2 linked regions of the Schizosaccharomyces pombe genome follow. The protein of the gene in region 2 binds, or shares a complex with, the protein of the main gene of each other region. Each region holds a gene or a part of one and is shown on either strand. Other genes may lie near its edges. The genes, in order: cob and cyt1. A codon is read from its position in the direction of its gene.

Evidence for each region.
Region 1: the proteins of cyt1 (region 2) and cob are in contact, whole or in part, in a cryo-EM structure (PDB 8Q1B), measured with the Schizosaccharomyces pombe proteins. Residues at the interface, in NP_595846.1 of Schizosaccharomyces pombe: Gly63 (codon at 1,775), Glu67 (codon at 1,763), Val82 (codon at 1,718), Leu110 (codon at 1,634), Ile111 (codon at 1,631), Arg114 (codon at 1,622), His115 (codon at 1,619), Cys180 (codon at 1,424), Arg183 (codon at 1,415), Gly184 (codon at 1,412), Arg185 (codon at 1,409), His186 (codon at 1,406), Ala258 (codon at 1,190), Glu260 (codon at 1,184), Pro261 (codon at 1,181), Glu262 (codon at 1,178), Arg266 (codon at 1,166), Lys267 (codon at 1,163), Met269 (codon at 1,157), Gly270 (codon at 1,154), Phe271 (codon at 1,151), Val273 (codon at 1,145), Ile274 (codon at 1,142), Leu277 (codon at 1,133), Thr278 (codon at 1,130), Leu280 (codon at 1,124), Thr281 (codon at 1,121), Ser284 (codon at 1,112), Met285 (codon at 1,109), Tyr287 (codon at 1,103); in YP_011104932.1 of Schizosaccharomyces pombe: Ser24 (codon at 4,312), Tyr28 (codon at 4,300), Phe62 (codon at 4,198), Glu66 (codon at 4,186), Arg70 (codon at 4,174), Asp71 (codon at 4,171), Phe76 (codon at 4,156), Leu77 (codon at 4,153), Asp217 (codon at 3,733), Ile219 (codon at 3,727), Pro223 (codon at 3,715), Tyr224 (codon at 3,712), Tyr225 (codon at 3,709), Ile227 (codon at 3,703), Lys228 (codon at 3,700), Leu230 (codon at 1,168), Ile231 (codon at 1,165), Phe234 (codon at 1,156), Ile235 (codon at 1,153), Leu237 (codon at 1,147), Ile238 (codon at 1,144), Asn241 (codon at 1,135), Tyr242 (codon at 1,132), Ala244 (codon at 1,126), Phe245 (codon at 1,123), Tyr246 (codon at 1,120), Pro248 (codon at 1,114), Tyr249 (codon at 1,111), Pro254 (codon at 1,096), Ala257 (codon at 1,087).

Annotation. Positions count from the first base shown.
Region 1 is NC_088682.1:8,521-14,555, reverse strand, and holds cob (apocytochrome b), read right to left. Parts: upstream 4,382-6,035; coding exon 3,698-4,381; coding exon of another isoform or gene 1,274-3,697; intron 1,172-1,273; coding exon 692-1,171; downstream 1-691. Other genes in the region: cox3 (cytochrome oxidase subunit 3), read right to left, coding at 4,786-5,595; cox1 (cytochrome oxidase subunit 1), read right to left, coding at 5,764-6,035.
Region 2 is NC_003423.3:2,071,049-2,075,367, reverse strand, and holds cyt1 (cytochrome c1 Cyt1), read right to left. Parts: upstream 2,133-4,319; 5' UTR 2,046-2,132; coding exon 1,986-2,045; exon of another isoform or gene 1,902-1,985; coding exon 1,038-1,901; 3' UTR 626-1,037; downstream 1-625. Other genes in the region: gef3 (RhoGEF for Cdc42/Rho3/Rho4 (Gef3)), read right to left, coding at 3,349-4,020, 4,077-4,319. UniProt on the Schizosaccharomyces pombe protein: Component of the ubiquinol-cytochrome c oxidoreductase, a multisubunit transmembrane complex that is part of the mitochondrial electron transport chain which drives oxidative phosphorylation.

The sequences.
Region 1 (6,035 bases), on a different chromosome or scaffold from region 2:
CCGACTTGAACGAACAATGTCTAATTTGGAATCAGAAGTTTTACCAATTAAACTATACTCTTTTTTTTTTTTAGTTATACCTAAAGTTGGACTCGAACCAACACGCTCGAAAGCGACAAATCTTAAGTTTGTTCTGTCTACCAAATTCCAGCATTTAGGCTTATTTAATGCAGATAGTCCGATTCGAACGAACATAATCTAAGTGGAAATCAGAAGGTCTGCCAATTGACTTATATCTGCTTAAACGAATCTGACCCAGTACGAGTGGGCATCCATCACCGTGACAAGGCGATACTTTACTTTAAGCTACAGATTCTTTTATTTGCTCTGAAATGGAATCGAACCAATATCTCAGCAGCTTCAATACTGCACTTTAACCGTTAAGTTATCAGAGCATAAAGTGCGACCTAAGGACTTGAACCTTAATACACTGATCATGAGTCAGAGATGTTAACCAATTACATTAAATCGCAAACTTATTCACATTTAATTAGATAAAAATTGACCGTAAAAATTCTGATAAAAATAAATCCCTAAAAGATCAACTTCTTCTAATCACTACTAACACCCAAAGAATGTTTTATTACCTAATCTATGTAAAAAACTTTTATTCATACCTTTTGATGAGCTTTTTATTAAATATTATACTGTTTAAATAAGATATTTTTATATAGTGTAAAGGGGGAAGAGATTATCGTTTAATTGAGCTTAAATTTAAATCAATTAATGTATTACCTAATATAGTATATACTGGTATTAAAATAAAGAAGTAGCTAAAATAGAAGATTGTAGCAATAGCACCAATTGTGATAAAGACGTTTTCTGGATGTGATCCACCAATCCATGCAAGAATTACAAAATCGGCAACAAATGTCCAGAAGAAGAATTTACCAAATGGGTTAAAACTATTACCTCTAATAGCTGAGAAATCTAATAATGGTAATAATAGTAATACTAAGATTGATAATAACATTGCTATAACTCCTAATTGGAAGTTAGGTATAGCTCTTAAAATAGCATAGAAAGGTAATAAATACCATTCTGGAACAATAGACATTGGAGTTTTTAGAGGATCCGCTGGTAAAGCACAATCTGGTTCCATAAATCCATATGGATTATAGAATGCCATATAATTTATACCGATTAAGAAGATAAATATTGTTATCAAATCATTGAACTAAGACGCATTCCCTTTGCAGGGTTGACACGGCTCGTCACCGAACCGTACGGGATACTTTCGTAATTATACGGCTCTCCACTACATTTAAGATATCTAAACTTTTTTATCCTCATTAAGAGTTAACTTATTAGCATGAAGTTTCATGTGACAAGATCTACATAATGGAATTTGTTTTCTATTTGCTTTTGCCATTAAGTAATCTAAAGTACCTTTGATTGGTTTAAGATTTTTCATCTGTCTAACATGATGCATTTCCACTTTATAAGTACTTTGACAAGCAGCACACTGTAGATTTTCTAAGTTAGCCATTGATAAGTGAGAAGCATAAAGTGTTCTAATGTTCAATTTAACTTTGTCAGATTTAAATCCCCAAACATTAACTTTCCAAGAAGGTTTAAATAATTGGGTAATTAATTTTGGTTTATTATTTTCATCTCTAGAGTTGTAATCATAGATAGAAAGGTCAGGACCAAATTTTTTAATTACTTTCATTCTAGTACCTAATGATAATTTATGAGCTAATGTTCGAAGAACACAGTCTTTAATTATGAAGTAAACGTAAGTAGCAAATCTTCCTCTATTATGAACAAAAGAATAATAATTATCGTAACCTCTAATAATAGAATTCGCTAAACCAATAATTTGTCGTACATCAAGAGGTAACCATCTAATAACAGATCTACCTTTATGATTAAGCATAAGTCCAGTTTCTCTAAGTTTTTTTGCAATTCGATCCATAGGAGCAGAAAGTAAAATAAACCCAGAATTTCTTTGAAGTATACCAAAATGTCTACTAAAGGTAACATTTTTAGAATGGCTAATATTAGTACCAAGGAAAAGTATTTTATCCGTATATGAATTAGTTATTTTAGTCTTAGTTGGAGATACTGTTAGTCCAATTGATGAACAGAAACAGGTAATTTTAGCTAAAATCTCTTTAGTTTGAGTATAACTTCCATTAACTGCAACTATCCAATCATCAGCGTATCGAACATACATTAGTTTATTAGATTGAATACCATGTATCTTATTAGGAACATTACGCATTTCAATCGCTATTTTTCTAATTGTTTTTGAATCAGCATTTTCTCTTTTGGCTTTTGCCATTAGATAATGAAGATGTCTAGATTCAGAAGTTCTTTTACGAGCTATTGGACCTTTGTAATCAAATTCTGATTTTAGGTTTTCAATAAATTCATCCAATTGATGAAGGTAGATATTTGCTAAGATAGGACTAACTATAGAACCTTGAGGAGTTCCAACAATATCGTATTTATATCTATTTTCAGTTAGATATCCAGCATTTAAAGCTTTACGAATTAATTGAATAAATCGTTGATCTTTAATTTTAGAAGATAATAGAGCAATTAATTTATCATGAGGGATAGAATCAAAACAAGCTTTAATATCTCCTTCAATCCACCAAGTACAACCTTTAAAATTAGTGAAAATAGATCTAAGAGCAGAATGACAACTTCGACCTGGTCTAAATCCATGAGAAGCAGTATTAAATAATGGTTCATAGATAGCCTCAAGGACTATTCTAAGAATTTCTTGAACTAATTTGTCTCGAGGACTACCAATTGTTAATGGTCTTTTTCCACCACTGGCTTTATCAATTAAGATACGTCTACCAGGAGTGAAGTTAAATTCTTCAGATTTAAGGCTTTGGATAATTTTATCAATAACATCTATAGACATTCCATCTAAAGTATCCGGTTTAAGACCAGGAGTCATCATACCAGGATTAGATTTTAATTTATTATAAGCAATAAGGAACATATCTCGATTTAATAGGAAATCTTTGTAGAGATTTCTATCAATTACAAGATTAGGATAATTTTTTGATCGTTTAGATAAATCGTCTAGTTTATTTAGTACATTTTTTGATCGTCCTGATCCTGTACTAAATCCTCTTACATTAGATACCCCTAAAAAAGTATTAATGTATCCTAAACCAATATTAAATATTGATCTATTGGAAGACTTTAATGTAGCTGATCCACTTCACTGTGTTGAAATCTTTGCAGAGTTCAAACTTCTTCCCTCTTTCAAAGGACCGTATTGATCAAAATGATCAACAGCTACTCCAGGATCTCTGACCGCATAGTCATTACTGACCTTAGCGGGACCCGTAGTTGTATATATGTTTGAGTTGATAGACGTAGGTTTTCCACTCATTCCCTTAATTGTACTATTGGTACAACTCTCTTCTCCTGGTGTGTATCCTTGGTCATAAAAGCCAACCAAAGATCTAGAGAAGAATGTCTCTATTCAGCTAAGACAATCACCTATCTGAGGGTGAGATGGGAATTGGAATTCGGGCAATACAGCTCTAACCGTATCTATTTGAACTGATCCATCTGAACTTATCTGTTTCGTTACAGGAAGGACCTTCTGTACACATGCTCTGTTCGGCATTGGGTTTCCCCAGCTACCTAAGTGTATTGTTCATATCTTTACACACAAGATATCCCTTTCTCTATGAGGGTACACATATATACCACAACGGCGCAATTTTATCAGATAATACGGGTTCATTGGGATTCTGTCCATATTAGCTGTTACACCTAATGGATTTGATGAACCATTAGTATGTAGAGCAATTAAATGCATTACTGATAAAGCAGCAATAACAAAAGGCATTAAATAGTGAAGTGAGAAGAATCTATTTAAAGTAGGATTAGATACACTAAATCCACCCCATAATAGATGAACTAAATCATCACCAATGAAAGGAACAGCTGATAATAAATTAGTAATAACAGTTGCACCCCAGAATGACATTTGATTAGCTGGTAAACAGTAACCTAAAAAGGCAGTAATAATAGTTAATAAGAAGATAATAACACCAATATTCCATGTCATTGTTCTTGGATATTTATAAGAACCATAATATAAACCTCTACCTATGTGTAAGTATAAGAAGATAAAGAAGAAACTAGCACCATTTGCATGGAAAGCTCTTAATAAGAAACCATAATTTACATCTCTAACAATTCTTTCAACTGAAAGGAAAGCTAAATCCATATTAGGAATATAAAAACAAGCTAAAAGTATACCAGTTACAATTTGAATAACTAATACACAAGCTAAAAGAGAACCAAAATTCCAGAAGTATGAAATATTTGAAGGTTCAGGAGCATCAATCATATAATTATTAGCCAAAGCTAAAAAAGGATTAGATTTTAAAATTTTCATAAAAATTAAATTTGAAATTATCCCTTCTAAATTGAACAATCATTATCGATAAATAGTCAAAAATTTGAAGGAATTGGGAAAAAAGATCCAAATCTTATTAAAAGGATATTGGATAATAAAAGATAAGATAGGTTAGATACTATCTGAGATCCTCTTATACCAAAAATATGGGAAAGGGATTGCTAATTAGAGGAATTGAACCTCTAACTTCGTACTTACAAGGTACGCACTCTACCAATTGAGTTAAATTAGCTAAAAAAAAAATACACACCTTCTAGGTGTGGAATCTGTACTAAGAATCGAACTTAGATCGACTCATTAGAAGTGAGATGCTCTACCATTGAGCTATACAGACTATTTTAGAGAAATAAGATATAAAAAGGGGGGAAAAATTGAAGTAAGCCTTAGCTACCCCAAATATAAATAGTTAAATAAAGGAATAACCAAACAACATCACAGAAATGCCAATAATAAATACCACATTCAAATCCATTATGATGAGTATTAGTTAAGTGGTAAGTATAAATATTATAAGTAGCAACAAGAAGTAGAATTGTACCAACAATAATATGAATACCATGAAGACCAGTAGCAAAATAGAAACTAGCACCATAAACAGAATCTGAAATAGTGAATGGAGCATTCCAGTATTCATAAGCTTGACCTCCTAAGAATAAGAATGATAAAGCGATAGTCATATATAAACCTTTTAAAGCATTTTCTCTATTTCTAGCAATTAATGAATAATGAGCATAAGTTAAACTAGCACCAGAAGTTAATAAAATTACTGTATTTAATAGAGGGACTTCTAATGGATCTATTGTTTTATCTGCTATTCCTACTGGTGGCCATACTGCACCTAATTCAAAAGTAGGTGATAATGAACTATGGAAGAAAGCCCAGAAAATAGAAGCAAATAAGAAAGTTTCAGAAATTAGGAATAACATAAATCCTATTTTTAATCCTTTTGTTACTGCTTTTGTATGTGCACCATGAATATTAGCTTCAGTTGACATATCTCTAAACCATAAATACATAGTTGCTAATAAACCTAAGAAACTGATTCCAAAGAATACTGATGAATGTTTGTATCCATGTAAATATAATGTAGCTGCTAAACAGTTAAAGAATAATACTACAGATAAGAAAAATGGCCAAGGTGACGCACTTACAATATGATAAGGATGTCCTTGAAATTTAGTAGAAAGATTCATGTTTAAGCTAAATTAGTTTATCTCAATAGTGTTCTCTCACATATAAGGAATAAAAAAATTATAAAGATACAATTTTGAATAGGATAGCTAAATTATCCTTCAATCTCCCTCTCCAATTTTTAAATTGGAATAAAGTTTATAAAATAAAAGGGGGGTTAAGATTTTAAATTAAATACTTTTTGTAGGTAATGTATTAAATGCGTGTTCGTGTACTGGTGAATGTAGTAACCATTCTATTGATTGAGCTACCCCTAATTTTTCATTTACGAAGATTACATTATCATCAAAATAGCTAGGGATTAAATAAGGATTTGTTTTAACCACTCTATTTGATGTAAATTGATCATACATAACATACATAAATAGGAATAATGAAAGAATAGAAATTACTGAACCAATACTTGATACAAAATTCCATCCCACAAATGCATCTGGATAAT
Region 2 (4,319 bases):
GATGATAGATGGCGATAAGGTAAACTAGTAAATGTCAGGGCACTTCATTGATTATATTAGTAATTCAATTTTTAATATGGTATAAAAGATCATTTTGATTTAAGTAAGTTAAATTCTACTCTTGTATATTTTTCCAAGCGTAACCACAAATTTGACATGTAAATATGACTTAAAATGATAAAGAAAACTTTAGGATGAATCAAGCGTTCTAACATACGTGTGCAAAGAGCATTTAACATTTAGAAGCAAGTTGTTTTACAAACGTTTTCTGCATTTTTTTTACTGCTCGGCTTGTTCAAATATAAACCAATCTTGAATTAAATTAGTATTTTTTTCAAAATGTTATTAAAAAACAACAGCTCGAGTTAATAAGTGAGTTTTACTGTCACTTCTAAATTTTTAAAGCACTTGACATCGATGTCATTATCGAAGTTGTTTTCTTGACACCAAACTTAAGAAATACAAAACCTGTAGAAAAAATTTAGAGATTGGCACAAAGAATAGCCAGTTACTCTTATTTGATACTAGTATAATGACAACTACTACTTTGAATTTCCAAACTACACAAAAGCAAATATTGTTTACAGGAATGCTAAAATTATAGCAATCAAAACTAAATTCAATCATGAATGTATGTTATTTAACATCCTTAGAGGTATAAATCAGAAAAAAAAATAGCAACGTCAGCTTAGATCTTTTCAATCTTGAAGCGTAAAGTTTTCACCCTCTACTTCAATTCGTTTTTTTTGTTATTGAAAACGACTTGCAACTCTTGTTTGACATACGAAATTTCGAATAGAGGAAATTAAATACTGAGGAAATAAAAAGTGGAGAGGAGAATAAATTCAGAAAATGACAGGTAGGAAAACAAATAGAAAGGGGGACCAGAAAAGAGAGAAAATGAAGAAGAAAGGGAACGCATTTGCATGATTGTAAATTCCGGTAAACGTTCGGTGTTGGATAAACTGCCAAGTTTAAGTCCAAAAAAATTTTCTTCCGCAATCGTCTTACCATGAAGACAATAAACATCATGTTTCTTACTTGATGGGTCTCTGGTAGAAAATCTTTCTGTTTTTAATAGGGGTCCACTTGAATCGCTTGTACCACATACTCAGAGCGGTCAGAATAGTAAGGACAGTGATAACTTGGAATCCCATCTTCTTACGAATATCCAATTCGGGTTCGGAGGCCCAATGAAGGAAGTTTACAACGTCCTTGGCAGCTTGGGCCGTAGTGGCTGGAGTACCGTCTTCAAACTCAACGGCATCATCGAAAAGTGGGCGGGCCATAGCTATTTGAGTACCAGGAAAGAAGGGGTTGAAGTTCATACCGTCCGGAACTTCGACACCAGCAGGCGGTTCGGTATAACCGGTTAAAAGAGAGTAGATATAGTCTTGACCACCATGTCTACCACGAACGACGCAGGAAAGGTCGGGAGGTGCTGCACCGTTATTGGAGGCACGTGCAGCTTCAACATTAGGATATGGAGGTGGTAAAAAGTCGGAAAGTTTACCGGGGCGCTTAAACATGTTTCCTTCATCGTCAGGACCATCTTCATATTCAACTTCACTAGCCATTTGTTTTGCTTCATCAGCAGTATGAGTAACACCTACTAAGTGACGCCAAGCAATTAAATTGAGAGAATGGCAGGCAGAACAAACCTCACGATAAACCTGAAAACCACGACGTAAACTAGCATGATCAAAACCAGACAACACTTTGCTTTGGGGCCAATCGTGTTGGATAAAATGGAGACCTTCTTCCTTTGGAGTGCCAGCGGACAAACTTGGACCATACACGTTATAATACAAGGCTATCATGCCTACGGAAAGTAATGAGCTACTAACCAAAGCAATATTTGAACCCTTGCTATGTGTTTTTTGTGCGTTTTGGGTAAATGCCTAAACCCCGTTAATGATCGTTCTTTTGTCAAAAGCTATGCTTGCTTCCGTTTCCACGAATAGCAGCCATCACATTTCACTTACTCGAGAGCCAAGTCTCGCAAATTTTAAAAACTCATTTTTTTTCTTTACAAATTGAAACATCTTCACGTTTCGCTCTGTTTTGACTCAAATACTAGAATTTGCTTAAATTCCCTGTTCTTTATTGGGTGAGTGGAGATGGGTGTGGTTGGAAGGTGGTAGTGCGTCCGCTCCCGGGGTATGCGTAGCGTTTCCCGACGATAATTGGCATACAGGAATCCTATTCAAGTTTACAATAAAATGCATTATTTCCAACATTCATATAAAAATATCCTATGTCAAGCACTGAAATGTTGCAACCTATGTGTAACTTGTACCAACTGATATTTCAAGTAGATCATCGAAGAAATGGTTTATGGTTGAATTAAAAGAAGTGACACGATATATGAGTACTAAATGCAATAATTAATTACAGAATGTAATCCATACTCTGTACCGGCAATGCTGTAAGTATAAAAATTTTAGATTCCACCATACTATGTATCGATCGGAATCCGCCAATTAGGTACTTTGCAATTGGCAAAGACGAGCAGGTGAATAAAGGTATCTCTAGCAATTTACTTTATTAGTATTTGTTTAAAAAAGTGACTCCCGAAAAAGTCGAGAAAGAAGATTGAGTTTAGAAGCAAGAATAGGTTTGAAGCAGAGATTTAGACATAAGAGTTTGAAATGTCAATTTGAATACTGAAAGATAATTTATAATAGTTTGCAATTTTTTGTTATTTCCTTAAAGAAGGTGTAAAAGTTAGTCAGCTCCTTGTTGTTTTGTAATTATAAAATGTGAATTCCTTATTTTTAATCCATAATAAATAGATAAACTAATAATAAAAGGCAAAGAGACAATGAAGCTTTTGAAGAAAAATATTAGTTAATTGGGCATATCAAAAACAGAATACAATGCCTCTCATGATCATGTTTTGAAAAGATATCGATGAAAGTAAAATATTAACACGAAAGGTATCCGGTCGTAGTAAAAATACAATGCATGCTGTATTTTTCAAAAGAAACTGACAAATGCGACGAAAATTAAAGAGAAAAGAATGTTAAAATTAAAGAAGGAGATGCGACAAAAACGAAAGCGTCTGAAAATGGAAATGTTTCTGCGTGACAAAATTAGATTGCCATCCAAAAATGAAATGAAAAAGGATACGTAAAAGATAAAGCAAATTAATAAAAACCAAATTCTAAAGTAAGCACGTATCTCCTAGATAAAAGAAAGATTTTGTAAAAATTGATCCAATAAATAAATACCTTTAACCGTGATAAAAAGAGACACATTAGTCAAAAAAAAATGAAAGAGAAATAACTTAAGTTCAAAAAGTCGATTAGTAACGGAAGTCATTGGAATATCCGTAATATCGTGTATTCATTTTGATTTTGGGGAGGACTCCATACTAGACCGCAAACTGGTGAAATCCATTATGGATTCAATCGATGGAATATCCTGGTGGTCAGTTAAGTTGAATTTTGCAACGACAGGTTCAAGGACTTTCTGAATGGTATCGTAAAAGGTAGCTTGAATTTGAGCAAATGCTAATATACATTCGTCGGTAACATTACGCGCCATCTCCAAAAAAAGAGGAAGTTCTTCTAAAAGGCAATTACTAAGTAAAGGGAAGCTTTCAAGGTCCTCTTCAAAAACCTGAGATTGGCGTCGCTTGGAAAATGCTGTAGCTTTTTTGATCCATACATCGGTAACACAAAGGGGGTTTCGGAAGAAAAGAATACCATTGGAAATAGGTCTCAAAACGGATGTTTGACATTGCTCTGTCAAACGAAGCACTGCACCCTTGGCAATGTTGTCTAATGCTACACTAATGAGAGCCCATTTGTCTGCAGATTTAGTGTCTTTACAAAACACAGAATAGGCTTCGACGAAGGTAAAGAATTTTAGGTAATGATATCTGGAGAATTTTAACCAATCACAGATAGCACTTCGTAAATTTAAAAGATTGGTATAGGATGAAGACAGTTGATGGACAAACGCTAGAATGGGCTCATGTTCAGGTACGTAGAAAATGTTTGTAGAATTTTGAAGCTAAAAAACAATTAGTCGAAAAATTTAAAGATAGAAAATCATTGAACCCGACGTACCTTTGCAATTTTCTTGTCAATTGAATCTGTGGAGAGAAGTAAGACCTCTTGGGAATTCGAGACGCTATCCAGGGCTGTAATTATAATATCTCGTCTCCTTTTTAACTCATTCATTCTTTGGCTAGCGATCTCAGATTTGTGACAAGCTTCCCCGAGCAACACATAGTCGGAAATGATACCCAGTGAAGCAGATCGGTAAAGCTGATTTAGTAAAAGCGGATACTTCAGAAAACGCTGCACAGG